4 linked regions of the Elephas maximus indicus genome follow. The main gene of each other region encodes a partner of the protein of the gene in region 4 in a complex. Links are inferred from orthologs where the notes say so. Each region holds a gene or a part of one and is shown on either strand. Other genes may lie near its edges.

Evidence for each region.
Region 1: MAPK14 (region 4) and AKAP13 share a complex: the UniProt entries of both Homo sapiens proteins name them as parts of the signaling complex. The link is inferred for Elephas maximus indicus from reciprocal best matches to the Homo sapiens genes MAPK14 and AKAP13.
Region 2: the proteins of MAPK14 (region 4) and TAB1 are in contact, whole or in part, in a crystal structure (PDB 4LOP), measured with the Mus musculus proteins. The link is inferred for Elephas maximus indicus from reciprocal best matches to the Homo sapiens genes MAPK14 and TAB1. Residues at the interface, in NP_036081.1 of Mus musculus: Gly110, Ala111, Asn115, Ile116, Cys119, Gln120, Lys121, Leu122, Thr123, Asp124, Asp125, His126, Phe129, Val158, Asn159, Glu160, Asp161, Cys162, Leu217, Thr218, Gly219, Arg220, Thr221, Leu222, Asn272, Val273, Phe274, Ile275, Gly276, Ala277; in NP_079885.2 of Mus musculus: Val385, Tyr386, Pro387, Val388, Ser389, Val390, Pro391, Tyr392, Leu405, Ser406, Leu407, Val408, Met409, Pro410.
Region 3: MAPK14 (region 4) and MAP3K20 share a complex: the UniProt entries of both Homo sapiens proteins name them as parts of the signaling complex. The link is inferred for Elephas maximus indicus from reciprocal best matches to the Homo sapiens genes MAPK14 and MAP3K20.

Annotation. Positions count from the first base shown.
Region 1 is NC_064831.1:80,886,738-80,894,338, forward strand, and holds the start of AKAP13 (A-kinase anchor protein 13), read right to left. Parts: upstream 3,104-7,601; 5' UTR 2,869-3,103; intron 1-2,868. UniProt on the Homo sapiens protein: Scaffold protein that plays an important role in assembling signaling complexes downstream of several types of G protein-coupled receptors.
Region 2 is NC_064822.1:183,334,253-183,341,432, reverse strand, and holds the start of TAB1 (TGF-beta-activated kinase 1 and MAP3K7-binding protein 1), read right to left. Parts: upstream 3,137-7,180; 5' UTR 3,114-3,136; coding exon 3,081-3,113; intron 1-3,080. UniProt on the Homo sapiens protein: Key adapter protein that plays an essential role in JNK and NF-kappa-B activation and proinflammatory cytokines production in response to stimulation with TLRs and cytokines.
Region 3 is NC_064824.1:71,226,913-71,234,670, reverse strand, and holds the start of MAP3K20 (mitogen-activated protein kinase kinase kinase 20), read right to left. Parts: upstream 3,059-7,758; 5' UTR 2,689-3,058; intron 1-2,688. UniProt on the Homo sapiens protein: Stress-activated component of a protein kinase signal transduction cascade that promotes programmed cell death in response to various stress, such as ribosomal stress, osmotic shock and ionizing radiation.
Region 4 is NC_064819.1:99,704,803-99,711,936, reverse strand, and holds the start of MAPK14 (mitogen-activated protein kinase 14), read right to left. Parts: upstream 3,116-7,134; 5' UTR 2,697-3,115; coding exon 2,581-2,696; intron 1-2,580. Other genes in the region: SLC26A8 (testis anion transporter 1), read left to right, coding at 3,935-4,169. UniProt on the Homo sapiens protein: Serine/threonine kinase which acts as an essential component of the MAP kinase signal transduction pathway.

The sequences.
Region 1 (7,601 bases), on a different chromosome or scaffold from region 4:
TTAAAAAAAAATCACATTTGGATTAATGATCTCAATTCTCATGAAGACATGAAACAAACAGCTAAACCACTATATGTAGCAGTATCAGACCTTCAAGAATGCTTTTAAGTCATGTAAAAATGTATCAAAATTATTACAACTACCAAACCAAAAACCCACCGCCATCAAGTTGTTTCCAACTCATAATGACCCTATCCAAGTAATACATACACACTTATTGCCATGGAGTGAATTCCAACTCAGGGCAACACCATGTGTTACAGAGCTGTGCTGCACAGGGTTTTTATGGCTGTGATCTTTCGGAATCAGATCACCAGGCCTTTCTCCCAAGGTGCCTTCTGGCTAGCAGCCAAGCAGTTTGCTCCACCCAAGGTCTCGGCACCTACTAAATGCTGGATACTGTACTAAGTACCTCACATAGTTTCACTTATTCCTAAGAACACTGCAAAGTATGTTACTATCCTTACAGAGCAGGAAACTGAAGCTCTGAGAAGTGACATACTCAAGGTGACACTCAACGAGTCAATGGAAGTGTGGGGATTTGAATTCAAATCTACCTAGCTCCAAAGAATGTGCTTTCTTATAAATTGTTCTACCTCCAATTTCGCATTGGAGAATTGGGCAGTGATGTGAACGGATGTGTTCAGTGGTCTTAATAATTTCACCAAGAAGAGGGAAAAAAATTCTAAATCGGGATCACCTTTTGAAATCCACAGTGCATTATTTAAACCCCACTTCTTGCCAAGAGACAATCAGCAGATAAAAAAAAAAAAGTTTAGAAGTCCTTTTAATGTAAACTAAACTTCATCACAAGTGAACTACCACTTTGGACAAGTCCCCGGGGGTTAGTGGCTCTCTCCTGTGTGCACTTCCAGCACACTGCACACCACCGCCAGCTCGTAAAAAAGCACCTCACCCAGTTCACAGGCATACTCAACACTAGTACTGTCGGACTCCTGGCAAAGAGGATACAAAGCTTTTTAAATAAGGCCCATCACAGCCCTTATGGAGTTAACAGACTAGCCAAGGAGCCCATTTACACTTACATGTACAGTTACCACTTAGTCAAACAAACGAAGTGTGAGAAATCCCAAAGCAAAAGTATGTATAACATGCTATCAGAGCCCAGAGGAGGGAAGCAACCAGCCTACTTGTCATCTTATGCTGGAAGGAGTGTTTGTTTACATTAAGTCCCTCCTTGACAACCCCTTCCAACCTGTCAATCCAGGATCCCACGCCCCCACACACGAACACTCACACAATCGTAGAGTAGGAATTGTCGCTCCTAAATGTGACTTTGCTGTAGTTTAAAAGTATTAATGCCATAAGATAATTTTTCTTTAGCTTCATCAGATGAAGAAGATTGGTTTCTCAAAGCAAAATGAGGCCAAGCAAACCTGAAAAATCCAAGAACACTTCTCCACACTGCCCACTTATCATGAGAAATCAAGGCAAACTAACATACACGGTATTTCTCAAATTGTCTTTTTAACTTATCAGATGCTCAAGAGACGATACAACAACTGAAATTGAGACACTTCCACTGCGAATTTCACAGGCATTTAAGCTAATTCCATCTAGGGCATTAAAACATAATTATTTGTATAAGCCAAATGAGAAAAATTCGGTGGAGTCCATGTACCCAAAACTAGACATCAAGGCTTGTACTTAATGCGATCTGCAAATCCCCAAGAGACCACGGAGTGCAAGAACAGTGATTTATCTCAGCCGATCATTACGCCTTTACAAACTTGCAAAAAATGACCTTTCAAGAACTGCAGCATTTGTTCTGATCTGGGCAATCCAACAGTTTAGAAAAACTGAATAAGCTGCTGCTTCTAAAAATAAGGGAGGAGGGGGAAGCATACAGCTTTTAACTTTAGTTATAAATGCCTAAGGCAATAAACTCGCACAGTAAGGAGTATAAAAGCTAAAAATGAACACCAAAATATTACTCAATCTAACTTTCATGGTGAATTCCTGAGTTCACAGTAAGGTCTAGAAACTTAAATGCAGTGGAACTGATCTGTTTAAATAATTAAAAGAAAAAAAACTATTTTTTTATTTAATAAAAAAACTGTTTTCTTAGTATTTTTCAACTCCTCACCAACTGGAAGGCTTTGCAAAACAAAAAGTGTCAGCGAGCCATATTTACATAATAAAAATGTTTTCTTCGGGCTCAAAGTAGGGCTGTGCTCTAGCCTGGAGGAAAGGCGAGCCCGTCGCACGCTCCCCGGCCGCTGCCGTCACCGACGCGCGCGGGTCGGGCCGAGCGCCCCGAGGGCCCCCCCACACCCCCAGGCGGGCGCAGCGCAGGGCGCGAGCGCGGCCCGACGTGTTTACTCTCCGTGCGCCCCGGGGAGCCGCTCCCCTCCCGCCGGGAGCACTTGTTCGCGGCGTCGCTGGCGACCCCGGGGTAGCCCGGCCTCCGTCGGACCGGCGCGATCCACCGAGCGACCGCATGGGTGCCGGGGCTCCTCGCGCTCCCTGCCCCGGCGGCGCCGGCCCGGAACGCCCGGGGGCTCGAGGCTCAGGCCTCGCGGCGGGGCCCAGGGGCGCCCGAGAGGCATCGGCGACCGTACTGGGCCCCAAAGCGGGGCCGCGGGGTGAGGAGGCGCGCCTCGGCCCGGGAGCAGACAATGCGGGAGGAGAGGGGCTGCGCAGGGAGGAGGGGTCGGCGGGGCCGGGCCGCTGCCCGCACCGCCCATTCATCCCTCCAGCCGGCCCAGCCCTCCGCCCCCGGCCCCCGCCCCCCTCCCGGCCCCCGCCCCGAGCCAAGCCGCAGGGGAGGGGCCCTCGCTCCTCGCCGGGACCACTCCTCAAATCACGAAAGTTCCCTCAACTCGGCCAACTCAGTTGCGCTCTCACCGTGCGGCGCCCGGGGCTCCCCCGAGGGCCGAGCCGGAGCAGCTCCGCACCTTCGCCGCGGAGAAAGACAATAGGTGGCTGCTCCCCCGGCGGCGGCGGCGGCTGAGGCGGCGGCAGCCGAGGCGAGAAACGAGCACGGCGGTCCCGGCGGCGCCCAGACGCTTCACCGCGGCTCCTCCGGCTCTGAGCTGGCCCCGCACACAGCCCCTGACCGCCGGCGCATGCGCTACAAGCCGCCCGGAATGGGCGGAGACCTGGGGAGGACGGCACCGCCTACAAGCCCTCCTGGGCCGCCGGGGAGCGCGGAACCGAAGGCCTCAACTGGGATTACACGGCAGAGGTGCCCATCATAGTCCGTGCGACCAATAGGAAGGCGCCTGGGCGGTGCGCTCAGGTTGCTAAGGCAAGCTGAGGTTGACTGCCGCTGCTGAGCCGCGGCGGCAAAGTCATCAAAGTAGTGAGGCTGGCAGAGGCTGCCTGGGAAATGCCCACGCACCACATCTCTGAAAAAGCTCCCCGCCCTGTCTCCGGAAACCGCCCTTCCTCTGTGCGCCCGATGCTTACCTGAGCTGTAGCGCTTAGCACACAAACCGAAATGATTTACCCTTCAACCTCCCCCCGCCCTTGAAATCAGGAAGTGCGGTTTAGTCTTCTGTGTCCAGCGCTCAGGAGAGTCATGGCTAGGTGTGCAGCCAGGCTTGTCTGGATGGATGGATGGATGGACGGACGGAGGGACGGACGGCGGTGTGATGGTGTCACAACTGTGACAGTGAACTTTTGGCAACTCCATCCCACAAATTCATACAGTCTTCAAGTTTGAAAGGACCGCAGAAATCATCTGGTGCTTTTGAAAAGCTACAATCGGTGTACCAGTGGTAGTCTAGGAGACAATAAGTTGGTACGCGAAGAAACTTCTTTATTTTGATAGGTATGTGTTTATTTTGATGTGCTTTGGGGGGCGGGGGGATATGCCGAGCACGTCGAACCATTATTTCACTGTTATTATTTCTTAGGTAGGAGCCCTAGTGGTGCAATCGTTAAGGGCACGGCTGCTAGCCAAAAGGTTGGCGGTTTGAACCCTGCAGCGGCTCCGTTCTTGGGGAAAAAAAGACCTGGCGATTTGCTCCTATAAAGATTACAGCCTAGGAAACCCTATGGGGCAATTCTACTCCGTCATATAGGGTCGCTGTGAGTCGGAATTAATTCAGCAGCATACGTTTCTTGGTCAAGTGGCCCAAAACCAAACCATTTCCTTCCAGTCAATATATTTTCTTGGTTCACGATCACATAGTGGTAAAAACAAGGCCAAACATCCCCAGTGTCCTAGTCTCCTAAAAAGTAAGGGGCTATCCTAGAAAATCACTTGGACCCTAACTTTTAATAATCTCAAAGCCTTCTCTTAGAGCCTGGCTGGTCTGATTCGGAGGTGGCAGCAGCAGATGGTTACCATGTCGTCTTTCTTGTGACTGCTGACACCATTCCCTGTTTCCTTACCCCACCCCAGCAGGATTTACACCTTTCCAGTGGGCTACAGAAAGGGTTGAGAGGCCGACACTTTTCAAAGTTTACTATGCCTATGGAACACCTGGGAGATTTTGGTAAATGTGAATTCTGACTCCGTAGGTCTGAGGTGGGCTCTGGGATTCTGCTTTTCTAACAAGCTCACAGGGGTACTGATGTTGCTGGTATGCGACCTCACTTTGAGAAGCAAGAGTCTACTCTAAATTCCCCAGACCACTGAGCTCTCTGTCTTTTGGCGGGAAGTCTGAATAGTTATTTGCATGACTGGAACTTTCTCATCATTCAGGCCTCAGCTTAAAGGTCTTCCTCAGAGAAACCTTCCTTGACCACCCTGTAAAAAAGAACCCACTCAATGAAGTTCAGATACATGCCACAGTATGGGTAACCCTGGAAAACATTATGCTGAGCAAAATAAGTCAGTCACAAAAGGACAAATACTGTATAATCTCACTTATATTAAATAACCAAAAAAAAAGTTGCCATGGAATTCCAATTCACAGTGTCCCTAAAGGACAGGGTAGAACTGCTACATAGGGTTTCCAAAGCTATAAATCTTTACAGAAGCAGACTGCTACATCTTTCTCTCATGGAAGCATATATAGAAACCAAAAACTATTAGTGGTTCCCAGGGATGGGAGGGAGGGGGCAAGAGGGAATTTTTGCTTGGGAGGCAGTAAGTTTTCATTAATGGTGGTAAAATAATTTGGAAAAGGGTAGTGAGATTGGTTATACAACTTGAGGAATGTAATCAATGTCACCGAATTATACTTGTAGAAATTGTTACATTGGTATATATTTGGCTACGTATATTTTCATCACAATAAAAAGAAGAAAAAAAAGTAGCCCATTCATACCTAATTCCTCTCTTTATTTTGCCCAATTTTTTCATAGCATTTATCCCAATATGAAAGTATCTTATTTATCTTGTGTGTTTATTTGCTGGCCTGGGCTCCACTATAATGTAAGTATAACGTAAGCTCCCTAAAGTCTGTTTTTTATCCTCTCTCTCTATAGGGTCGCTATGAGTCGGAATCAACTTGACGGCAATGGGTTTTTTTTTTTTTTTGGTTCTCTCTCTCTCGTACCTACAGCAGTAGGAACTCAATGAAAGTTTTGCATGAATGAATTAGTACAGAAAGAGCTACTGTGAGGTGTCCTCAAACTGAATGTTCCTGACACTAAAGATTTGTTCTTCCAAGTTGCACCAAGGATCTCTAAACAGCTCCATTTCACCAGAAAGATTTCAGATTTATCATTTTCCATGAGTAAACAATTCTACCACTTTCCATGAGTAAGCTTATAAGCCAGGAAAGATACCAGGGCCTAAGAAGCATGGCAAGATTTTTTGTCTCTGAACTGTCTCTCTAGTTGACTTATATCTAATTGATCTGCCTGGTTTATAATACTTAAAAATGTAACAGGGTTACACCCCATTTTACAGAGTACCTAAAAATGCCAGTGTACAAAAAAAAAAAAAACAACAGTTATGAGAACATGCATTTTCTTTGGACCCATGTTTTATAACATGTCCACTTTTATGAAAGAAAAGGCACTGAGAACAAACAACATTTTATTGCTTTTGTGGTAGAACTAGTACCCTGATGTTGCTTTGTGGGAACTTTTACCTTCAGCCCCTGCTTGGTATTAGGCAAACTTCACTACAGCCCCAATTCCATGGCCTTAGCACGTGATCAGATCGGAGTACATCAGAGCATTCTACCTGTAGGCCACTTCTACTTCAGAGGTGGGCACGTGACCCCAAACAGGCCAATCAGGAGCAATAGGAATAAATTGTATTCTCTGTTTAAACTATTAAGGTAGCAGACTTTGTCTTCTTCAGTGGAACCTGGGAGGATATGCTTGTCAGCCAGCTTGTCATTTTGAGGAAATAACCTCTCTGGGAATGGAGCCATCACAGTGGGAAGGTGAGAGAGATGAAAAAAAAAAACATCTTGGTGACAATGGTTGAACTGCTAAATCTAGCCATACCTAAAGATAAAACAATACATAGACTTTTCAACTATGTAAGGCAATAAAACCAGGCAGAGTAGATGTTACAGTCACTTACATCCACAAGAGCCCTAATTAATATGCCATCCATGAGCTGATGATCCCTGGTTAATTCCCTTACCTGCTTCTCAAGTCATTCAGCAAATAGCCCTTGAAAGTGTACTGTGTGCCAGGCGTGAGGCTTGGTCCCGGGGTTGAAGATGAAGAACAAGGTTCTGCCCTCAATGAGCTCACAGTCAAGTGAGGGAAATAGACAAGTAAACCAGCAAGAAATCAAATGTGTTAATGCTCTTAAAGACGCAAGCACAGAGTGCTGGGAGCATAGAGGAGGAGCACTTTTGCCTAGAAAGAAGGTAAAAGGTCAGGGAAGGCATCCTGGAGGATGTAACAGCTAAGCTGAGTCTTAGCAGACAATCACATTAAACCAAGTAAAGGAGAGTGGGATAGTAGAGGGGACTTGGGAGTGTTTGCACAAGTAGCACATTCCCAGAAACAGGAAGAGCAAATTTAAAGACATGGAGGTATCAGAAACTCAGCAGAAGAAATTGGAGAGGGGAAGGGGTAGGAGGTAACACTGGGGGAGGGTAGCAGCTACCAGGTCATGAAGGGCATAGCATACTGCCCTGCTGAGTAGTACAGCCTTTATTCTGAGAGGCCAGGGGGAGCCCTCAAAAGGTTTTAAGCAATGGGACAACAATGAGAACAGATTTTCATCTTACGAAGATCACACTCTCACCGTATGCTTCACCAAAACCAAACCTGTTGCTGTAGTTTGCTGTGGAGTCAATGTCAACTCATGGCGACTCCATGTGTTTCGGAGTAGAATTGTACTCCATGAGGTTTTCAAGGACTGTGAACTTTCAAAATCAGATCACCAGGCCTTTCTTCCAAGGTACCTCTGTGTAGATTCAAACCACCAACCTTTCAGTTAGTAGCCAATTACTTAACTGTTTGTACCACCCAGGGACTCCTACCATGTGCTTAGGGGGCACTGAAGTGAGGCAAGAGAGTGGGGCCTAGAGGCAAGGTACGAGGGAGTCTCTGAGAGAATCCTGACTACAAGCGGAAAGTTTCACAGTGTAGATTAAGTTTTCACTTCTTGGGTAGCAAAGGGAACCTTCTTCTCTCAATGTCAAGCCCAACGCTGTCCAATAGAAATATGATGTGAGCCACATAATTTAAAATTTTCTAGTAGCCACATT
Region 2 (7,180 bases), on a different chromosome or scaffold from region 4:
CAGCCCTGCTCACTGCCTGCCCCTCTCCTCTGCGGAGCACGGATGTCCAGATCATCACTAGAGAAAGTCGCAGGAAGGGGCCTTGTATGGCCTCTGTCTTTAAATACATATGTATTTAAAGCTAACTTTATCCAATCTTTAAAAAGTACAAGGAAAGATTCCACAACTACCCTCAAGAACACATACGAGAGCTAGTGAAGCTCACCTTTTATCTAACCCAAGTTCCTTGGGCTCCATCACGCCTAGAAGGGAGCCACCCACCCTCTGCACAACCCAGGCAGCCGCTCTCTCTTCAACAAGACAAGTCTACCTGTAGCACTTATCACTTCCACAGCCACTCTCTCAACATCATAATCCAGGTAGTAAGCGTTTCCGGAATGCTTACTACAATGGGGACTGCCCTCCAGGAGCTCACAAAGCAGAGGGTACCAGCCATACCCAACCAACTTCTCAACAAGCCAGACTTGAGCAGCAGTAAAATAAAACCCATTGCCATCAAGTTGTTTCTAAGTCATAGAACCCTATAGGACAGAGCAGAACTGCCCCATGGGGTTTCCAAAGCTGTAATCTTTACAGAAGAGACTGCTATCTCTTTCTCACTGCAGAGTCGCTAGTGGGTTGAAACCGCCAACCTTTCAGATACCAGCTGAATGCTTAACCACTGTACCACCAGGGCTCCTTAGTAAAATAAAGGGGCAGCCAGTGCCCTCTGGTGTGGAGGGGAAGAGAGCTGTCCCCACCAGGGAGCAATCTGGAACAAGGCTCTGCTTCCAGAGAATCTACACAAAGCCTGCCATTAACATGCAACAGTGAAGGTCACCCTCACACCCAAATCCCCATGCTTCAAGACCCTCAATGGCAGGAGGGCCAATGTCTGCTGCATATCCGTAAGGCCAAGGCTAAGCAATGGGCCAGGCTACAAATGCTTTACTCATTTTTTCACCAATTTTTATTGAGTACCCGGCACACAATAGTGTAGATGCTGTAACAAAAGTAAGCAAGGGGTCCCAAGTCCCCATCTTCAAGGAGTTCACTTTCCAGTATGGGACCCAGAGAGGTCCACAGGCAACTACGAGAATGCCATAACTAGGGCAATGGGGAAAGTGGTGGTTCAGTGGTAGAATCCTGCCTTCCACGCCGGGGACCTGGTTCGATTCCCACCCAATGCACCCCGTGTGCAACTATCACTCATCTGTCGAAAAAGGCTTACGTGTTGTTAGGATGCCGAACGGGTTTCAGTGGAGCTTCCAGACTAAAACAGACTAAGGAAAAGGGCCTGGTGATCTACTTCTGAAAATCTGCCAATAAAAATCCTATGGATCACAACAGTCCGATCAACAACCGATCACAGGATGGTGCAGGACTGGGCAGCGAAACCACTGTGCAGGGGCTGCCATGAGTAGAGGGCTAACCCAACAACAGCTAACAATCCATGACCCGTAACTTAGGAGTTAAAATTGGAGCCATTATTCCCTGTCCTTGAGTACAAAGAATGTGGCCCAGATGAATTGGACTCAGAAGGACACATCAACTGGGCCTTGAGGTACAAAAAAAATAGCTAGAACAACCTTGAAAAACATCTTTTAGTGACTCTTTTACATATTCGGAGCACAAAAGACCCACCCATTTTCCACTCTTACTTTTTCTATTAGCATTTAACAAACAGTAACATTTGTTGGACCAGTGAAGACCCTCCTGTCATTACCGAAATTTGTACCAGTAGCTATTAAGAAAGTCAATTCAAAATGCAGAATCATGGTGATTTAGCAGTTTTTAGTCAATGTGTGAAAATGTGAAACTTTTAATGATTTTACCCACTGTAATGTTAATGTTAATATATACTGATGATTCTGTAACATTCCTTGGACTCGGGCAGACGTGGTTCTGGCAGCGTGCTTGTCCGTTTCCTACTTTTGCCTCTTGGAACATATGCCAAATAAAGTCTTTCTCCTTGCTCTACTATAACTTTGTGGTGATTTTACCCTAGGACACTGGACAGGACCCAGAGGATGCTTCCCAGTCCTGGCAGGTGGGAATAAGCCTGTGTTGCCAATGTGAGCACATATGCATCTGTGAACATGCATCTCAGGAGGATGCCCGGGGCTGGAGGGCAACATCACCACCAAACCCAGGAGTGTCCAGGCTGCAGGAGAGGGGGGATCTCAGGACAATCCTCCCACTCCAGGTCTGCTCTGCTCTCTGCTTACAGATAAGGAAACTGAAGCTGAAGGAGGCACAGTAAGTCAGAGTCACGACCAGAACTCAGGTGGCCACTATCTCAGTCATGCCTTCATTATAGCCTAGAGTTTAAGAGGGTTTCCCAAAGGTCGGCAGTTCGAATCCACCAGGTGCTCCTTGGAAACTCCATGAGGCAGTTCTACTCTGTCCTACAGGGTAGCTATGGTCAGATTCGACTCGACGGCAATGGGTTTGGTTTTTCTTTTTCTGGACTCAGACCGCAGATTCGATTCCTGCCTCTGCCACTGACCAGCTGTGTGGCCTCGGGCAAATGACCACCTCTCTGTGCCGCAGTTTCCTCAACTGTAAAACAGGTCTAAAAATAGTACCTTATCGGTGTACTAAGAAAATTAAATTTACTAACATAACGCAATGAGCACAATGCCTGGGACGTAGTGAACGGTATATGAGTGATGCTGCCAGGATTATTACTACTATTGCACGACTACCCCGAGCGGCGGGTGGGCTCACAACCCGGGCTCCTTCCGCTGCCGCGCGCCTCACTCCCCGCCGGCTCCGAGAACGGTCCCACCGTCGACGCCCGGCCGGGAGCGCCGGCAATGCAGTGAGGAGCCCCGGGGCCGCAGGCGCTCTGACCGGGAAGGCCGTGACCCCAGCCGCCGGCCGGGCAGGACGCACGCGCGGGACGCGCAGGACCGAACCTCCAGTGCGCGCCCCCTGCCCCGGGAATGAGGGGGTCGGCCGCGGGAGAGGGGAGGGAAGCGGCCACACCCCGCCCGGGAGAGGAAGGAGGTCCAAAAGCGGAGAGGGAGTCGCTCCTGGACCAAACAGGCGTCCCCGGACCCCCTACCCCCAGCCCAGAGACCGGGTCGGTTCCTCACACTCTGCAGCAGACTCCTCCTCTGCGCCGCCATCTTGGAGGGACCCCCGCGGGCGCTCCCGCCTCCCGGCAGAGCAGGCGAGAAGAGCGGCTAGAGCGGCCTGAAGGAGGCGAGGACGACTGCATTGCCAGGGAGCATGCGCCCAGCGCCACCCTACGGCCGTTGTCAGTTAGGGCCGTGGCGGACCGTGTGCGCAGGCGCACTTGCTTTCCTACTTTTTTCCCTCCGGGGGAAATTTAAAAGAAGGCTTTATTGTACCCCTACATTTTACAAACCGCCCTCCCATCCTTATATGATTGCCTCTCACCCGTCTCTATTTGCGCACTTTCTCAGGGGTACCTTTCAAATGAAACTTCTAAATCCCTGGATTAGGGTCCCCGTATTTTGTGAATCCATGTAGTATACCCCCTTTGGAGTCCTTGGGTGGTGCAAATGGCTAAACGCACACTACTAGCCAAAAAGTTGGTGGTTCGAACCCACTCAGAGGCACCTCAAAAGAAACAACTAGCGATCTGCTTCCGAGAGGTCACAGCCTTGAAAGCCCTATGGAGCAGTTCTACTTCGCACACATGGGGTCTCCAGGAGTGGGAACCAACAGGATGGCAACTAACAACAACTGGTGCCTTTGGGAATTTTATCCAAAGTCACAAGCATCCTTTGGCTTTTATGATCTCCATAGTGTAACTTCTTATTGCATTACCTTTTAAATCTTCCTTTAAAATGCTTGTTTGTAACTGTTATAAGCCTCCTCCTGAGGCACTGGTGGTTTAGTGGTAGAATTCTCGCCTTTCACGCAGGAGAACCCATCTGCATTTTACGCACAAACACCACCCATCTGTCATGGGAGCTTTGCATGTTGCTGTGATGCTGAACAGGTTTCAGCGGAGCTGACAGGCTAGGAAGAAAAGCCTGGTGAACTACTTCCAAAAATCAGCCGATTAAAGCCCTATGGATCACAATGGTCTGATTCACAACTGACCGTGGGGATCGTGCACAACCACGTGGGCTTTTTTTCCATTGTACGTGGGATCGCCATGAGTCAGGGCCAACTGGACCGACCACAGCTAACAACAACAACCTGAACACAATAGCTGGAACAGGGGGTACATGTTCATTCATTCACTCAACAAATACTCCTTGAGTGATCATGCCTGGCATTATAGTGGGCACAGGGCATAACACAGCAAGCAAAACAGGCCATCAAAGCTAACATTTTAATTGGAGAGGACAACATTTTTATACATAAGTTACTTCAAATGGTGTTAAGTACTAGGAAGGAGATGTTTATGGATAGTGCCGTGGGAGTGTGGGGCAAGGACCCGGTCTGTGGAAGCCATGCTTGGGCTGAGATCTGAACAGGTGTTAACTGCTAACAGGGAAGGGCTGGCCAGACAGAGGGGACAGCTAGTGCAAAGACCAAGGAAAGAGAGAGCGCGTGGGCCCAAGAAACTGCCAGAAGGCTGGTGTGACTAGAGCAGAGGTGGAGGAGGAGTGAGGTGATGTGGTGGGGGTGAAGGGGCAGCCTCTGGGCATGCAGGCCCCAGGCAGGAGTTTGACTTCTCATCCCCAGGACGTAGTTGCTGACTTCTGAGCAAGCCAGTGACATGATTCTATTGGTAGAAAGATCCCCTTGACTACTGCCTACAAGACATATTTTTAGGGAGATTGGAAGGAGGCAGAAAGGCCAGTTAGGGGAATATTGTAATAGCTCTAGGCAAGAGATGTTAGTGGTTCGAAATGGCTGATGGCAGTGGGTGGATTTTATTTAGGAGATGAAATTGTCAGGGCTTGATGATGGAGTAGTTGTGGGTGGTGATGGGAAGAAATGTGTCAAAGATATCTCCCATATTTCTGGCAAGAGCATCTAGGTTTGGGGGAGTGAGAAGGGAATGACCATGAATGAGTTCTATTTGAACTCATTGAGTTAGAGGTGTTTTTGAGACATGTAAGTAGAGAAGTCAATTGTTGGATAGAGGGGACTGGAGCTCAGAGCAGAGGCAAAGACATGGTGAGGAGTGTCTAAGGAGGGTGTGGGCAACAGCGTGAGATGCTTGTGAGAGCTCTAGTTAGAAGAGAGCAGAAGAAAGCCCATTAGAGTTAGTGGTCCAGAGGCCTTTGGCCCAGGCAGTTCAGGTAGGATGTAGGACCTAAAAAAAAACCGTCACTGCTGTCAGGTTTTTTCAACTCATAGTCACCCTGTAGGACAGAGTAGAACTGCCCCATAGAGTTTCTAAGGCTGTAAATCTTTACAGAAGTAGACTGCCCCATCTTTCTCCTGTGCAGAGTAGCTGATGGGTTTGAACTGCACACCTCTTGATTAGTAGTTGAGCACTTAACCACTGCACCACCAGGGCTCCTCAGGATGTAGGACAGAAGCCTAAATCCAGTGAGTTGAGAGATGGCTGGAAAATGGAGACATGGAGACCTAAGAGTAGGTGGTTCTTCCCAGTTGGTGAACTGTGACAAGGAAGAGACAGAAAAGGGAACATGGAAGGGGATGTGGGATTGAGAGAAGGTTTTCTTTTAGTTTGGAAGGACCTAAACTTGAGTCTGTTTGAACGCTGAAGGGAAGGCTTAATACAGAAGAGTTGATTCAGAAGATAGAGGGTAGGGGTGGGAGCGAGCCCAGGGCTGGGATGGTGACTCATCATTTTGCTGTCCTACCAACATAGCACCACATGACTCAGGATGGCTGCTCTAGCCATTTTGTCTTAATTCAGCTAGCAGGTAGGAGGAAGGTAGGAAGATGACACCTCCCTCCCTTTCCTTTTTTTAAAATTAAACATTTATTTGCAAGATGTGTCTCTTTCCTTTTAAGGAGACTTCTGGAGGTTCCCCATGATGCTTCTACTTATGCCTCGTTGGCTACAACCTAGCCCCATGGCCATATCTAGCTGCAAGGGAGGCCAGGAAATGTAGGCTTTGGACTGACCGATAACGTGCCCAGCTACAAATGGGATCTATTACCAGAGCAGGATTGGAGAATGGGAACCAGGAGGCTGTGAGCAGTATCCGCCATGAAGAAGGGAGGAGGAAAAGGGGCAGGTGGTTTGTCTGTTGAAGGAAAGCCTGGAAAAAATAAAGATTTGGAGCTCAACCCCCTCCATTCTAATCCCTGCTCCATATCCTGTCACCTGAGTGCTCTTGAACAAGCAACCTCCTCTCCCTGGGCCTCAGTATTCCCCTCTGTAAAAAGGGAGTATGAGGATTAAATGAGATGCCATGGAAAGACCTGACCTGTGGTAGGCACCAATGTTTGTTATATTCAGACTACAATTTAATTAAAAAAAAAAAAAAACTTTATTGTGCTTTAAGTGAAAGTACAATTTCATTTTCTACAGATTTAATAAACCCACATTGAGCACCTGGTGTATACCAGGTAGTTTTTAACCATGTACTTATTTATGTCTCATTCCAACCTCGTAAGGCAGGTATTATCCCGCTTATTTGATAAAGCAGGAAATTCCAGTTCAGTGAGCCACCCAAAAAATAGATGTTGGGATTTGAACTCAGGTCTTCTAACTCCAAGGCATTTCCTGGCAACCCTGTGAGGTAAGCAGACCCTAGAAGGCCCTTCACAGCTCAGCCTCAGCATAACCACTTATAGTTTCCCAAACAACCATATCATTCCCTGCTTCCATGCCTCTGTAAATCTCGTTTGTGCTGCCTAGAATGCCTTTCCCACACCTGCCCACCTGGTGAACCTCTGCTCACTCTTCAAGACTCCTATCAGATGAAATCCCTATGCCATGAATCACTCTCCATCACCTTTGATTATTTAAAACCGTAACTATGGTTTCAGGGACCAGGACTTAGAAGACTGGAACTGTGGCAACTCAGCCCTGGTCTTCAGGCCCAGAGGAGCTGCTCAGCAAATGTTGGTGGCATCGAACTGGTTGAAGAGTCGGACAGCCACAGCCATTCATGGACACTTTGGTAGATGAGGAAACTGAGGCACAGACAGGCCCAAGGTCTCTGAGTGATTTAGAGGAGAGCTGCAACTCTAACTTGTGGCCCCTGGCCCCATACCCACCCCTTTTTCCATACCTAACCCCTCCCTCAAACAATGCAGTGTGGGGGGCCCTGCCTCCAATATCCCT
Region 3 (7,758 bases), on a different chromosome or scaffold from region 4:
AGGCTTTAATTTCCTATTAGGAATTGTGATGCTGGGGTTAGGGTGTGAAATGTGCGGCTGCTTTGCTCCCACAGACTCTTCTACTGTGTAGGGACTATTTAACCACTTTTGGGGCATAATCGATGCTTCTGCTGTCCATAGCAGTGTTTCACACAAAAGCACCCATGTATCAATCAAACCAACCTAAGCGCTAGCATTATAGCTCTCTTCCCTTAACAGGTACAGTTTTCTGGCCACAGCTGGAACTCTGCTTATTTGTGTGCAGTGGGGCAGGGCTAATAGACACAAGACAATTAGCCTCATCTTCCCTGTAGTAAGAACAAAAGGTGCCTTAGCTCTTCCTATTACATTTAGATACACAAGGTACCCTCCCTGTCAATCTTTCCTGGGTGGAATAAAATGGAAAACAAATGATCCAGGTTGATTTTTATTTCCTACACCTCAGGATACAGATATTAAAAATCTTATTCCAAGCAACACTGTATCACCGTGCACACTTTTTTCTTGTTTGAAAAAAAAAAAAAAGATTCTCTCCTTCTCATCTCTGAATCTATCAATTTCCAGAATCAACTATCCATTTGCTCTTTCAACTCCACACTAATAGCTTCACTTTATGTCTGAACTCTTCAAGAAACGTCATTGTAATTTCTCAAGTGTCTTCTCTGATGAATGGATTATTCACTCCATGCCCCTCATGACTTCAGTTCACAGTTTTGTAGCCCTATCAAAGTCAGTTTCACTACTCATTCCAGATAAGCACTCAGCCAATGTATTGCCAATAACACTTACTCTTGTACTGACTTAAAATATACAGTGCAACTTGCCAAGTTTCTGTTTTTGGCAAGAAGGTCCCTTAGTTCCCAAGATCTTTGACCATCCATTTTTAGATCCAAATTCTTAATATTTGGATATTACTCTCTCTCTCTCTTTAATGTGACCTAAGTGTTCCCTAAAAGAATTAGAAAAAGAGATCAACCATCTATTTGCTTTCCTGGACAAGGAAAAAAAATGTCCTGGCCATTGCATTATGGTCACTTACCTGGAAATATAACTGCTAAAACTTTGGATTTAAACAATATTTTCCAGCTTATATATAAAAAAACAAAAAACTCCCAAAATAACCCCAAAAAGTTATAGTAGGAATCAGAGTGTTAAAGATTAAAATTAGCAGTACACACAGCTCCAAAAGACCATTTTTCTTTATCTGAATTCTCTTTCCAAACAAACTAAATTCACATTCATTTGCAATCTCCCAAGTCTCTCACTACTGTAGCAGGAATGCAAACAAAAGCTCTACAAATGACTAAAACCATAATTTAAATGCCACTATCACATACGTTTTTTAAAATGAAAAAACAGCAAGAAATTTCATTGTAGAGATGGTCCCATTACAAAGACGTCATTAACTGGCCTTGACTCACTTGTCTAATCCTGTCTTAAAATATGTTGCAGGTCTAGATCCACTGAATCCTGGCTGTTCACTTTAGTTAATGTCAGGAAAGCCAGAAGGCTCTCCTACAACAGCTCTAGGGTGAATACAGAAGTCTACTTTAACAATATTAACTCAGATATCCTCAAATTAATTCTGTAATACGATTCTAACACACCAGTATTGCAAGCTGCTTACTGTTAATAACACTGGAATAGGCCACTAAACTGTGTTGATTTCATTATTGAAGAAACTAACACAAATAGTAATTAAGTCCCCCATAACAGTGCTTATGCCAGGTATCTAGCGCATCAGGAACATACATTTTCGGCAATCTAATAATACCAAAACAAACAAACAAACGAGTCGAAAAATCTAATAATAGCACCCCATTTTTCAAGAAATTCAATGTCATCTAACGAGCTTTAAAGTTTTTAGGATAGCTGTCACGAGCGAGCAGGCGTGGAGGCAGCCTCAGCGTTCGTCTCTGGGCCTGCGGCAGGTCTCAGCGTGCACGAAACCGGGGCCTCCAAGGGGTCAGTCAAGGGGATCCCCTCTGCTCTCGTGGAAGTAAAGTGGGGAAGTTCGAGTGTGCGGGCGATTGCGAGCTCCAGGTTGCTCAAGGACGCCTCAGGAAGGGCAGGGAGCCGTCACTGTCGGTGGGAAATACCACTCTGGGCCGAGTGCCCTAGAAAGCAGAAGTTAGGCGTCTCTGCTCGCACGCACAGACCTCTGATGGGAAATGGTCTGCATCCTGCCCTGATTTGGGAGGTCCGCGTTTCGCCCCTGCAAACCGGCTGTCCGGCGCTACCCGCCCCGGGGTCCAGGGCTCGGCCGGCCGGGCCCCGTGTTCTGCGATGGGAAGCGAGGCCCGGGAGGAGGAGCGCCGCGAGCGACGAGGCGTCCCACGACCGCGCTGCATGCCCAGGGCCGAGAAAGCCTGAGACGCTCGGGACTGCGTCCCGCTCTTCCGGCGCCAACTTCTCCGTCTGTCGGGCCCGAACTTCCCCGAGCTGCACTTGGTCGCGGAGCTGCGGAGGTCCAGCACTGAGCTCCGCGAAAGCCGGGAACGCTCACTCCCGCCGCTACCGCCTGGGCGGAGCCCGGCCCGGGAAGGGGTGCCCTGTGGGGCGCCCCTAGGCCCGCTGGACTCCGGCCTCCAACTGGGCCTCGGCCCCGAGACGATGGGGCAACTCGCGAGCGCGGCGGGCCTGCCTCCCTCCCTCCCTGGCCTCCGCGGCCTCCAGCCTGGCCCTTACCTGGCTCCCCGACCGGGCGCGAGCAGCAGCTGGGCGCGGAGGCCCCGCGCGCAGCGAGGACGGCGGCAGAGGGCCGGGAGGACGGCGGCCCGCGCAGCTTCCACGCTTCCGCCGAGTCAGGAGTTGAACATTCCGCCTCTCCGCCCGGCGCCAATGAGGAAGACAGTCACAGCAACAGCACCACCTACCTCCGACCGCGGAACCGCGAAACCGCGGAATCCCCCTGCCCTCGCCTGGCACGCCCGCCTACCCGGCAGCCGCTCACACACGCCAGCAAGCCGGGCGTGGGGAACGAACTCTGGCCTCCGGGGCCTTCATCACCGAGGCCTGCGATCCGCCCAGGAACCCACCGAGGACGTCTGCGCGCCCCCCGGGGGGCTGTTAGGGGACTTCCCTGTCCTCAAAGTGCACCTGCCCTGTAGTTGGGAGAACGGCGGAGGGGGGGGAAGGGGGCGGAGTGACTTCTTCGCCCCTTTGTACCTTACCATCTTGTTGGTAGTAACACTACCAATTCCATCAAGGCAGTTCTCATCAACATTTACTGTGGCGATAGGCAGTAGGATACAAAGAGATAGGAGACTACTTACTGTCCTACAGAAGTTAAATTGGGAAGGGAGTAGACATACAAAGATATTCCTGAGGAGATAGGGATGAAGGCTGCTTCGGTAGAACCAACAGTAGGTACCTTCTCGAATTTCGAGGAAGGGTCATGGTCTACTGCTCTGGTTGGTGGTTTTAACAGAGCAGAAATCAGATGAGGGAACTAGAATCCATTTCGGATGTGGGCAAAAAGTGGGAATGGGTATTGGGAAGAAAAATGACTGTTGATTGGGGGAGGATGGTTCTGTGGAGGAAAGTGTGAGCTGAGGTTGCAAAGGTATAGGTCACGTATTCTGGGTTTTGAATTTGAATTTTACACTCCCTGGTTACAGGGAAACTGTGGAAAGTCAGAAACAAGAGAATAAAGTTTTTGTTCTGATGATGTTTTAGAGAAGCCCTGGTGGCACAGTGGTTCAGAACTCAGCTGATAACCAACAGGTTGGCATTTCAAATCCACCAGCCCCTCCTTGGAAACCCTATGGGATGGTTCTATTCTGTCCTGTAGGGTTGCTGTGAGTCGGTGCTGATTCCACGGCAACGGGTACGTTCTTCCTACAACGGTTGCAGGGTGGGTTGCTAGTGCAAAACTGGGAAGCAGTTACAGGATTATGAGAGCCTAGGTTAGAGTGTACCAAATGGGATTAGAAAAGAGGAAATGGAGTTGAGAGAGATTTTTCAGCAAGAGGCCACTGAAATTAGTGACCCAATAGATGTGGAAGACAAGAAGAGCCAGAGATGATGCCAAGATCAAAATTGCATGACTGGAAGAATGATAGTGTCATTGACAGAAATAGTGATGTGTGGAGGGGAAGCTGGCTGGCTTCATGTTGAGTTCTAGGTCATGGGAGGAAAACAGGTAAAGATGTGGTGGCTGAAACATGAAACTGAAATTCATAAAAGAGGACAGGTGGGAAATATAAAATTTGCAAATCATCGTATAGGTTCAAGACATGAAAGTGGAGGGATTGGTGAATATATGTTAAAAAATTTCTAGTCTGTTACTCACATTAATTATTGAATTTTCTCTTTGATAAGGACTGGGAATTTTAGCATTAATAGTTTTCTGTTTTCATAACCAAGGTATGAGGATTCATGAAAACTGTTATACAAAAAAAGAATTCCTGATTTAGGTAATCAAGTAATTCTTAAAAACCATCCAACCATCAAAGGGAAAACTAAAGCTCTTTAGACCCAGGTATAAGGAGACTTCAATCATTTTATTTCACCTTCAAGGACACTTTATTGTGACAGAAAGGACACTAGGCTGCAGGTCAAGGAAGGTCCTGAGTCCAGCCACTGAACAGCTGGGAAGTTTTGCTAGACAGGCCCCAGTTTCCTTGTCTGCAAAATAAGAGACTTGCAGTTTCCAGCTTTAAAACCATGGATGTATTGCTTTAAGTTTGGCCTGCATGCCATAAGAGTCTTAATGTTTCTTAGCCACATTCCCCTTCCTTCCCATCTACTTCTCCTTTATTCTATTTTCCCCACATTATTAGGCTAAGAGAATAGCCAGCAAGAACAATAAACACTGTAGAGTAGTCTCACAAACATGCTTTAACAATAATCTGGTAGGCATTCTCGGGTCTTCGTAATTAGACTGCAAATTCCTTGAGGCTATTCTTATCTTCTATTATATCTGTCCATAGCTGAAATAAATACATAAAAATTGTGTGATGAACTAATTGCCACAAGTCTAATTTTCTTTCATTAAGCTACTTGCTTCCATATGACTATGCAGATTTCTTTGGCCCCTAAACGTATTGTCCAATGCCTTTTCCTGTGACTGACTCTATTCTTTCAAACTATCCAATCTTTTTGAAATCATTTTGGTTAATTCTAACCAATTGTTGTTGTTAGGTGCCATCGAATCAGTTCCAACTTACAGCAAACCTGTGTACAAACACTAAACAAAACACTGCCTGGTCCCGCGCCATCCTAACAATCGTCGCTATGTTTGAGCCCATTGTTCCAGCCACTGTGTCAGTCCATCTTGTTGAGACTTTCCCCTTTTTCTCTGACCCTCTACCAAGCATGATGTCCTTCACCAGGGACTGACCCCTCCTAATAACATGTCCAAAGTATGTGAGACAAAGTCTCACCATGCTTATTTCTAAGGAGCATTCTGGCTGTACTTCTTCCAAGACAGGTTTGTTCTTTCTTCTGGCAGTCCATGGTATGTTCAATATTCTTCGCCAGCACCATAATTCAAAGGCATCAATTCTTCTTCAGTCTTCCTCGTTCATTGTCCAGCTTTTGCATGCATATAAGGTGATTGAAAATATCCTGGCTTGGGCCAGGTACACCATAGGCCTCAAGGTGACATTTTTGCTTTTTAACACTTTAAAGAGGTCTTTTATAACAATCTTGCCCAATGTGATGCGTCATTTGATTTCTTGACTGCTGCTTCTGTGGGCGTTGATTGTGGATCCAAATAAAATGAAATCCTTGATTTCAGTCTTTTCTCTATTTATCATGATGTTGCTTCTTGGTTCAGTTGTGAGGATTTTTGTTTTCTTTATGTTGAGGTGTAGTCCATACTGAAGGCTGTAGTCTTTGATCTTCATCAGTAAGTGCTTCAAGCCCTCCTGACTTTTAGCAAGCAAGGTTATGTCATCTGTATATCACAGGTTATGAGTCATCCTCCAGTCCTGATGCTGTGTTCCTCTTCATATAGTCCAGCTTCTCGGATTCTTTGCTCAGCATACAGATTCAATAAGTATGGTGAAAGGATATAACCCTTATGCACACCTTTCTTAACTTTAAACCATGCACTAACCCCTTGTTCTATTCAAACAACTGCCTCTTGGTCTAAGTGCAGGTTCCTCATGAGTACAATTAAGTGTTCGGGAATTCCCACTCTTGGCAATGTTATCCATACTTTGTTATGATCCATACAGTTGAATGCCTTTGCATAGTCAATAAAACAAAGGTAAGCATCTTTCTGATATTCTCTGCTTTCAGTCAAGATCCATGTGACATAAGCAATGATATCCCTCATTCCACATCCTTTTCTGACGTACTGTTGTAACTGCTTTTGGTTTTAAATTTTTGTTGTGCTTTTTTTTTTTTTAAGTGAAACTTTACAAATCAAGTCAGTCTCTCATACAAAAATTTATATACGCCTTGCTATATACTCCTAATTGCTCTCCCCCTAATGAGACAGCCTGCTCCTTCCCTCCACTCTCTATTTTCATGTCCATTCCACCAGCTTCTGACCGCCTCTGCCCTCTCATATCTCCTCCAGATAGGAGATGCCAACATAGTCTCAAGTGTCTACTTGATCAAAGAAGCTTATTCTTCACTAGCATCTTTTTCTATCCCATTGTCCAGTCCAATCCCTGTCTGAAGAGTTGGCTTTGGGAATGGTTCCTGCCTTGGGCTAACAAAAGGTCTGGGGACCATAACCTCCTGGGCCCTTCTAGTCTCAGTCTGACCATTAAGTCTGATCTTTTTACAAGAATTTGAGGTCTGCATCCCACTGCTCTCCTGCTCCCTCAGGGGTTCTCTGTTGTGTCCCCTGTCAAGGCAGTCATTGGTTATGGCCAGGCACCACCTAGTTCTTCTGGTCTCATGCTGATATAGTCTCTGGTTTATGTGGTCCTTTCTGCCTCTTGGGCTCATAATTACCTTGTGTCCTTCGTGTTCTTCATTCTCTTTTGGTCCAGGTGGGTTGAGACTAGTTGATGCATCTTAGATGACAACTTGCTAATGTTTAAGACCCCAGAACCCACTCTCCAAAGTGGGATGCAGAACGTTTTCTTAATAGATTTTATTATGCCAATTGACTAAGATGTCCCTTGAAACCATGGCTCCCGAACTCCTACCCCTGCTGTGCTGGCCTTTGAAGCATTCAGTTTATTCAGGAAACGTCTTTGCTTTGGTTTAGTCCAGTTGTTCTGACCTCTCCCGTATTGTGTGTTGTCTTTTCCTTCACCTAAAATAGTTCTTATCCATGATCTAATTAGTAAATACCCCTCTTTTTCCCTCCCTCCCTTCCCCCTCTCGTAACCATCAAAGAATATTTTCTTCTCTCTTTAAACTATTTCTCGAGTTCTTATAATAGTGGTCTTACACAATATTTGTCCTTTTGCAACTGACTAATTTCACTTAGCATAATGCCTTCCAGATTCCTCCATGTTATGAAATGTTTCACAGATTCATCACTGTAAGGATGTAAGAATACATCACTCTAGGATGTATTCCAAGGAGTGGGATATCTGGTAGTTCCATTTCTAGCTTTTTAAGGAAACGCCAAATCAATTTCCAAAGTGCTTGTACCATTTTACATTCCCACCAGCAGTGTATGAGTGTTCCAGTCTCTCTACGATCTCTCCAACATTTCTTATTTTGTGTTCTTTGGATTAATGCCAGCCTTGTTGGAGTGAGATGGAATCTCATTGTAGTTTTGATCTGCATTTCTTTAATGGCTAATGATCATGAGCATTTTCTCACGTATCTGTTAGTTCCTGA
Region 4 (7,134 bases):
CAGTTCTGCTCTGTCCTATAGGGTCTCTACGAGTCGGAATTGACTCAACAGCAATGGATTATTTTTTCGGGTCACACCTGAAAAGTTGATAATTGAAAGAACAACTTCAAATAGCTACTCTGAGATGATACTTATTTGCAAATCTAAGTTCTGGTATTTTCATTACACAAGCAGTGATACTTGTTTTATAGTCAATTTTTATGCAATTTCACTTGTATTTTCTTCCACCAAAACTCTATAGGTTGCATCTTCTCTCTCTCACACACACACCTTCCAGTAGACTCCGACACACGGCAATCCCACGCACGTCAGAGTAGAACTGTACTCCACAGGGTTTAAATGGCTGACTTTCTCCTACGTAGGTCACCCGGCCTTTCTTCCAACGCACCTCTGAGTAGACTCGAACTTCCAGCTTTTCAGTTAGCAGCCAAGTACATTACCCATTTTTACCACCGAGGGATTCCATCTGTATCTTAAATCCGCCTAGAAATATTTACTAGAAATGCTACTTTAAAAAAAGACAAAGAAAAAAAACCTCTGCCTTCCTGAAAAGACACACAAGAAACTTAACAGTGGTTGTTTCCGCAGAAGGGAAGAGGGCAGCTGGGGAACAAAAAAGAAAGGGAGGGAGACTTTTCACTGAATACTCTTTTATATATTTTGAATTTTATAAAATATGAATGTATTACCTATTTTTAAAAATCTATTCAACAAAATTACTTCCAAATGTCAGATACTGCTGGCTTCTATAAGCCAGAAGAGTACTAAAGAAATATGAAGTTCATTTTAGCGACACTTTATTAGAAATCTGATGTGTGGTCTAGTGCTGAGCTATTCATACTTACAGGGAAACCCTGCGAGCAAATTTTTTCAAGTTCACCTAAATTCCCTGTAGCTGAGTTATTTTGCTGTATCACTCCATTAAAGTTTAAACGGAAACACTGGAAACAAAAACCTGATATTGCAAAAATAAATATGTCAATTCAAAAATGAAGGTAAATTAATGAACTGTAAAAGCTGCAATGACTCAAATACATCTTTGAAAAGTTGTAAATCAAGAAATATATATAGTGAATGTAAAAAGCTGCAAATTCCTTTAAAATGAGAGAAAGATGTCAAGCATGGTGCCATCTGCGACATAACGCAAGCAGCTTTAACTAGAAAATGCAATATGATCTGTTGCAGGGCACAATTGCACAATCTTAATTACCCGAAAAGTCTACCAAACAGGAAATTCATGATGTGACTTTAAGGAACACAGGAATTACACTTAAAGATTAACACATTCAAAAAACTGGAATATATTCCTAAGCAAAAACTTATTTTACAGACCCCTTTTCAAATGATGCATGTACACGAAATTACTAAAACCCAGAAACAGTTAATAATTAAGTCTGATATTTAGTTTCAGATCGGGGCGCCCAGATTACAGTACATCTAAAATACAGTACATAAAACTTTGGAAACAAGAGAGAAGTTAGTGAAACATTTCAAGTCCGGAAACTTTATTGTACCCGTTTAATTTAAAACACTTGCGGTGTAAAAAGGCGTCTCTTCCTTCTTTTGCTACATGCTATGAAAACTGTCGTGTACCTCAGGTCACAAATGCAGATAAGTTTCCTGCAAAATCTCTATAAGGGGCTTTAAAAACACAGTATTTGTAGGAACTGTCGCAATTTAAAACTATTTACAGTCCTTCCCAGCACGGTTAACTTTTTGATCTTGAGAGCGTCCAACGGTCCTGAATATCCTTTGCTCCAAATGAGAAAATTGTTTTGTCAAACAATACTTAAATGAGCAGAGGAATGTGACTAATCAGTGAGACGACCGGTTTCTTAAACAGCAGGGTTCTCGCAGGCACTATCGCCGCCACCGCCACCGCCACCACCTCCCCCACCCCCCCGCGAAAAGGAAATACGCTTTCAACCGAATCGGAAACACACCACTCAAACTGGCACGGTGTTCACCGAGATAAAGTCAGTATTTTAAGCTCTATAGGTCGCTGCTAATTCAAAAGGAACCCTTCTCAAAACGGAATTTCAACGCAGCTTTGCAAAAAAAGCCCGGGGAGAGCGCCCTTCCTCGTTGTTCAGATGATCACAGTCTCCCAGTTGGGCTCTGCCTTCTCCCGGCAGCTCCTGGGCTTGTCCGCACAGAGGGCCAGCTCCAGCGCCCCAGGGTGGGCGCACCCCCGGAGGGGGCCCTTCTGTTCGACGCCAGCAGGGACACCCCCTCCCCCCGCAAGCAGAAGGCACCCTCGTCCCTGTCCCCGGAGCAGCAGCCTTCTGAGAAGCCTTCCCTGTCCCTCGCGCAGGGCGCGAGCCAGGGCCGAATTCCAGCACCCCCACCCCCACCCCCACCCAGCCCAGCATGGAACTGCGTCCTGCACACGGCTGACCACCTAGTTGCTGTGCAGATGGGGGTGCCAGGGGTGCAAGACAGAGCTCGAAGGGGCAGCGATGCCGTTCCTCGAGAAAAATTCCTGCCACTTGGCGCATCGCTGAGCCGTGGGGGCAGGCCTGGCCCTTGGGCGTGAGGGGCCACCCCGTCCACCTTAGCCTCAGGCCCTGCGACACTCACCATACCGAGCCATAGGCACCGGAGCCCACCGGGGACAGGTTCTGATAGCGCTCAGGCACCTCCCAGATTGTCTTGTTCAGCTCCTGCCGGTAGAACGTGGGCCTCTCCTGAGACATCTTCCAGCGGCGGCCGCAGGGTGAGGAGGTGGCCCTGCGGGGCCCCTGCCTGCGCCTGCACCCGCTCCCGGACTCTCGCTCCCTGCCGGGCAGGGCCGGGACCCTGCGCTGGTCGCCGGCGCAGGTGCGGCTGCCGCGGCCCCTCGGACTCCCGCGCGCGCGCGCGGCCCCTGTCAGCTGCAGCACCTAGATGCGCCTTAGTGACGGGGACGACCCCGGCTCAGGACAGGGGCGCGCTACCCGGCTCGGGGCTGCGCCCGCCGCGACCCCCCTGCACACTCGCCCAGACCAGGCCGTCTCTGGGCTGCGTCGCCGGACTCCAGCTGCAGCGCCCACGGAGACTCCAGCGGTCGCGGATCCAGAGCCAGTGAGCAGGAGCCTCCCTCTGTACTCTCGCGAGAACAGGTCCCGGGACTCTCCGCGAGCCGAGAGTCACCCAATATGGAACCTGCTCGCGGGAGGGGTTTCGTGATGTGAGAGTACGGGAGGAGGAGCAGTTCTCGCGACAAGAGAGCAACAGCTGGAGGCCAGAAGCAGGAACTTCCAAGGACTGATGTCCTTAAGGGCGCGTAGGCAGACTCGCCAAGGAAGAGACTAGCGGGCAACACATGCCTCGTGCGCCCCACCGTGGTGGGCTGGGGCAACGCCTGGCTCTGGTGCTAGAAAGCGACGATGACAAATGGGGCATCGGGAAAAGGGCCCAAGATCTTTGAACTCAGTATAGGCACCGGCAGCCAAACACCTGCTCAGGGAAATTCTCAATTTCCAAGAAATAACTTGCATATAAAAAGAAAAAGGTTCCAGCCAGAAAGCCGCTGCCTTCCCATCTGCTCAGGGACATACGGCTTCTTCTTAGGGATTCTGACGAAGTCTGTCACAAAAGCAAATATTAGCCCTAAAGTGAGATTTTTTCCAGCCAAGCTCTCCTAGTAATTCTCAAACTTTTATGTACAGAAGAATCAACCTGGGAGTTTGTTTTAAAACACAGCTTCCCAGGGCGCGCTGCAGTCTAATTAGATAAGTCCGAGATGGGCACTGCATTTTTAGCATAGATGCCAGGCGGTTCTGATTTAGGGAAATCTTGGCTATCTCCCTTCGAGAGGTTTCCTTACGTCTCTCTTCTGACCTAACCGGTAACCGGAAGACTTGTGAATTGATGCGCAGTGCAGATCACGAGCCCTGGCACCAAGTAGGCCTGCAATCAAAAGTGTAAAACCTCGAAGCCAGTGGGGGCCTGGATGGCACAGGTAAGGAGTTCCCTTGGGCTCCGGACGCGCGGCCCAGCTATCCCGGTCCCCGCTCCCCTACCCCTGCTGCCTATGCCCCCTGCCCGCTCCGAACGCCCGCAAGCTCGGGCGCAACGGCTCGGGAACCGCCGGCGTCTGCGCCCGCATTCGCGTCCCAGCGCTGCCAGCCGGGCCAGAGCCGCGTCCGACCCCACCGTCGTCATTCCCGCCTTCGCCCGGGAACCAGGTGAGCCGCTGCGGGAGTCGCCCAGGAGCCAGGGGCTGTAGGTGGAGAGCGGTGAGGCCGCGGCGGGTCCCCGGCGTGGGAGCCTGGGTGCGAGGGACCGGCCTTTCATTACACATCGAAGTCGCAGGCAGGGGGCTGCTCCTGTCCCCAGCAGGGCTAGGCACATAGCGGGCGCTCAGTCAATATTTGAGGGATGAATGAATGGGGATCCCCTGGGAGCTCAGAGGTCTTGTCTGTGCTTTGAAAGGCCGCGTGGAATGGCTATAACAACAGACAGCGTGTGCATTTTTGCAAGCTGCCTCCTTTCAAAGTCGCTTGCCGGGATTATCAGAAACCCTCGAAGTGGCCCACTGCCCCAGTCTCAGCCGCCACCGCATCCATCTCCTCCTGAGGCTTGACTGCCCAAAACTTACAGCTTTTGTTCATTTTGTTCCTTCTGCCTGAGCCTCCTCCCTCACCTGTCCCTTTCTCTTCCTGTCAAATTCTGTTTATCCTCCAGGATCCTGTGACGTTTCTACAACATCCCACCCCAATAATAAGTGTCTCTCCTCCACACTCCACTGGTTTTGCCCTTAACTACATTGCAGTACAGATAGCTGCAGGTAGTGTCTGATGGTTAAGCTCCTTGAGGGCTGCATCTTTGTCTAAGTCATTTTTATATCTCTGTCACTAGACAGTTATTGAAGAGTGCTAAAAAGATGCCTTTTCTATATCTGAAATTCATTTCCCATTAAAACCTAGGTAGTAACTGGCAAAGGGCTGTTTTAACAAATGCTTATTTTGAAATTTTGGAAGTGAATTTTGCCTTCACATAATTTTAGAGAATATATGAAAGATGACAATAGTGGGGAAAGATATTCTGGCAACTAAACTTAAGTTTCAAGATTTCAATTCTATTGGGTCAATGGTCAGAAAGTCGCACTGTATTTAAACTTTTTATTCTTAATTTTTTAAATAGTCTGAACATAGATTATGTAAATGAATAAATGGATGGATGGATGGATGGATGGATGGATGGGGCAAGTATGGAAGGTGAAGGAGCTGAGTCAAAATGCATGTGTTTTGACAATGCCCCCAAACTTAACACTGGAAGACTAAAGAAGTTGGCTACATTTACAGTGGTCCTCATACTTTACTGTGTATCGGAATCACCTGGAGGGATTCTTAAAGCAGAGTGTTAGGCCTGCCCCCAGAGTTTCTAATTCAGTATGTCTAGGTAGGGCCTGGTGGTGTAAGAGCTACCGCTGCTAACCAAAAGGTCAGCAGTTCGAATCTACCAGCTGCTCCTTGGAAATCCTGTGGGGCAGTTCTACTCTGTCCTGTAGGGGCGCGATGAGTTGGAATCGACTCAATGGCAACTGTTTTGGTTTTTTGTTGTTGTTGTTTAGGTGGGGCCTGAGAATTTGCAGTTCTAATAAGTTCCTAGGCAATGCTGATGCTACTTGTCTGGGGATCAGGTATGGGGTACAGAGATTAAATTAATGTCTCCCTTGTAGTAATCCAAACCAAAAAAGCAAACCCGGTGCCATCGAGTAATCCAGGTACTCAAAATTATGTTACATTTGTAGAGTAAGAAAACGAAAACTTACGTGGTTCAAACACATTGTCTACCAAACTTAAATATTTGCTCTGATGGAAGGAAGCATCAAGGAGTTGTCTTCAAAGTGGACATTTATCTTCAAGGTTATGGGTAAAGGTTAGCATGGTGTTGATTACACTGAGTGCAGTAGCCCCATCAGACTGACACTGTCAAGAGCTGGAAACAGACACTGTCCCTTTTGTGTCTTAGCTGCAAGGTCATCATCCCATCAGTGTAGTTTTGATGATCTTTTCTGAAATTCATCACCTTTTCCACACTAAAGTGCATCTGGCACTTATCAGTAGGAGCTTCTCGTCACACACCTTGTCAGGAAGGGTCCTGCTAAAGCATGAAAACAAGCCATTAGGGGTTCTATGAAATCGAGAGGGAAATAATGGAGCTGGAAAATTCCAGAGAAGACTGCTAAAACAAATAAATAAGGAAATCATGTGCCTTCCTTTAGGCAGCCATTTGATGAGTCCTTTAAAGCCAGCATCAAAGATAGCTTTCCACTTGCCACTCCTCACCATCCTCACTGTGGCCACCAAAGCTTATAATTCAAATACCTCTGCCCTAGACTATTCTAATATCGATTGTTTCTAACCAGTCTCTTGTCGCTAGCACTGTCCAATAGAACTTTCTATGATGATGGAAATGTTTTACATTTGTGCTGTTCGGTAAGGTAGCCACTGGCCACATGTGGCTGTTGAGCCCTTGAAATGTGGCTAGTGCAACTAAGGAACTGATTTTTTATTTTAGCTTAATTAAGTTAAATTTAAATAGCTGCATGTGGCCAGTGGCTACTGTACCGGACAGTACAGCTGTCAATCATACCACCGACAAGATTCCTTTTCCCAAAGTGCATCTCTGTGCATATTACTCTTTCTGCTCAAACAGTTTACATAGCTAAAAAATAAAGACCAGCTTTTTTTACAACTCAGCATTTAAGACCTTCCAGGAATAGGCCTCATTCTACATTTGGGGGGCTTAACACTAATTTTAGGAGCTCCTGGGTGGCACAAACAGTTCAAACCCACCCTGAGGTACCTTAGAAGACAGGCCTAGCATTCTGTTTCCCAAGGGTCACAGCCTTGAAAACTCTCCTCTGCACACATGGGGTTTCCATGAGTCGGCACTGAAGAATGCTATATCCCACTCATTATATAATAAGCCCCACTTATTTTATACCTCCCATGTCTCTTCACGGTGCCAGACTAGGGTCAAACTCAGCAGCATCTTCTTTCCCTGCTGATTCCGCCAAGCCTGTTCCCTTGGCTGTGGTTTTGCTGGATAGTAGGTAGGGACAGTGGGAATCTCTTTCATCCATTCATGCACATCACTAATTAGATGATGAGGCATTTGGCTACCTTCGTTACATGAGTCTGC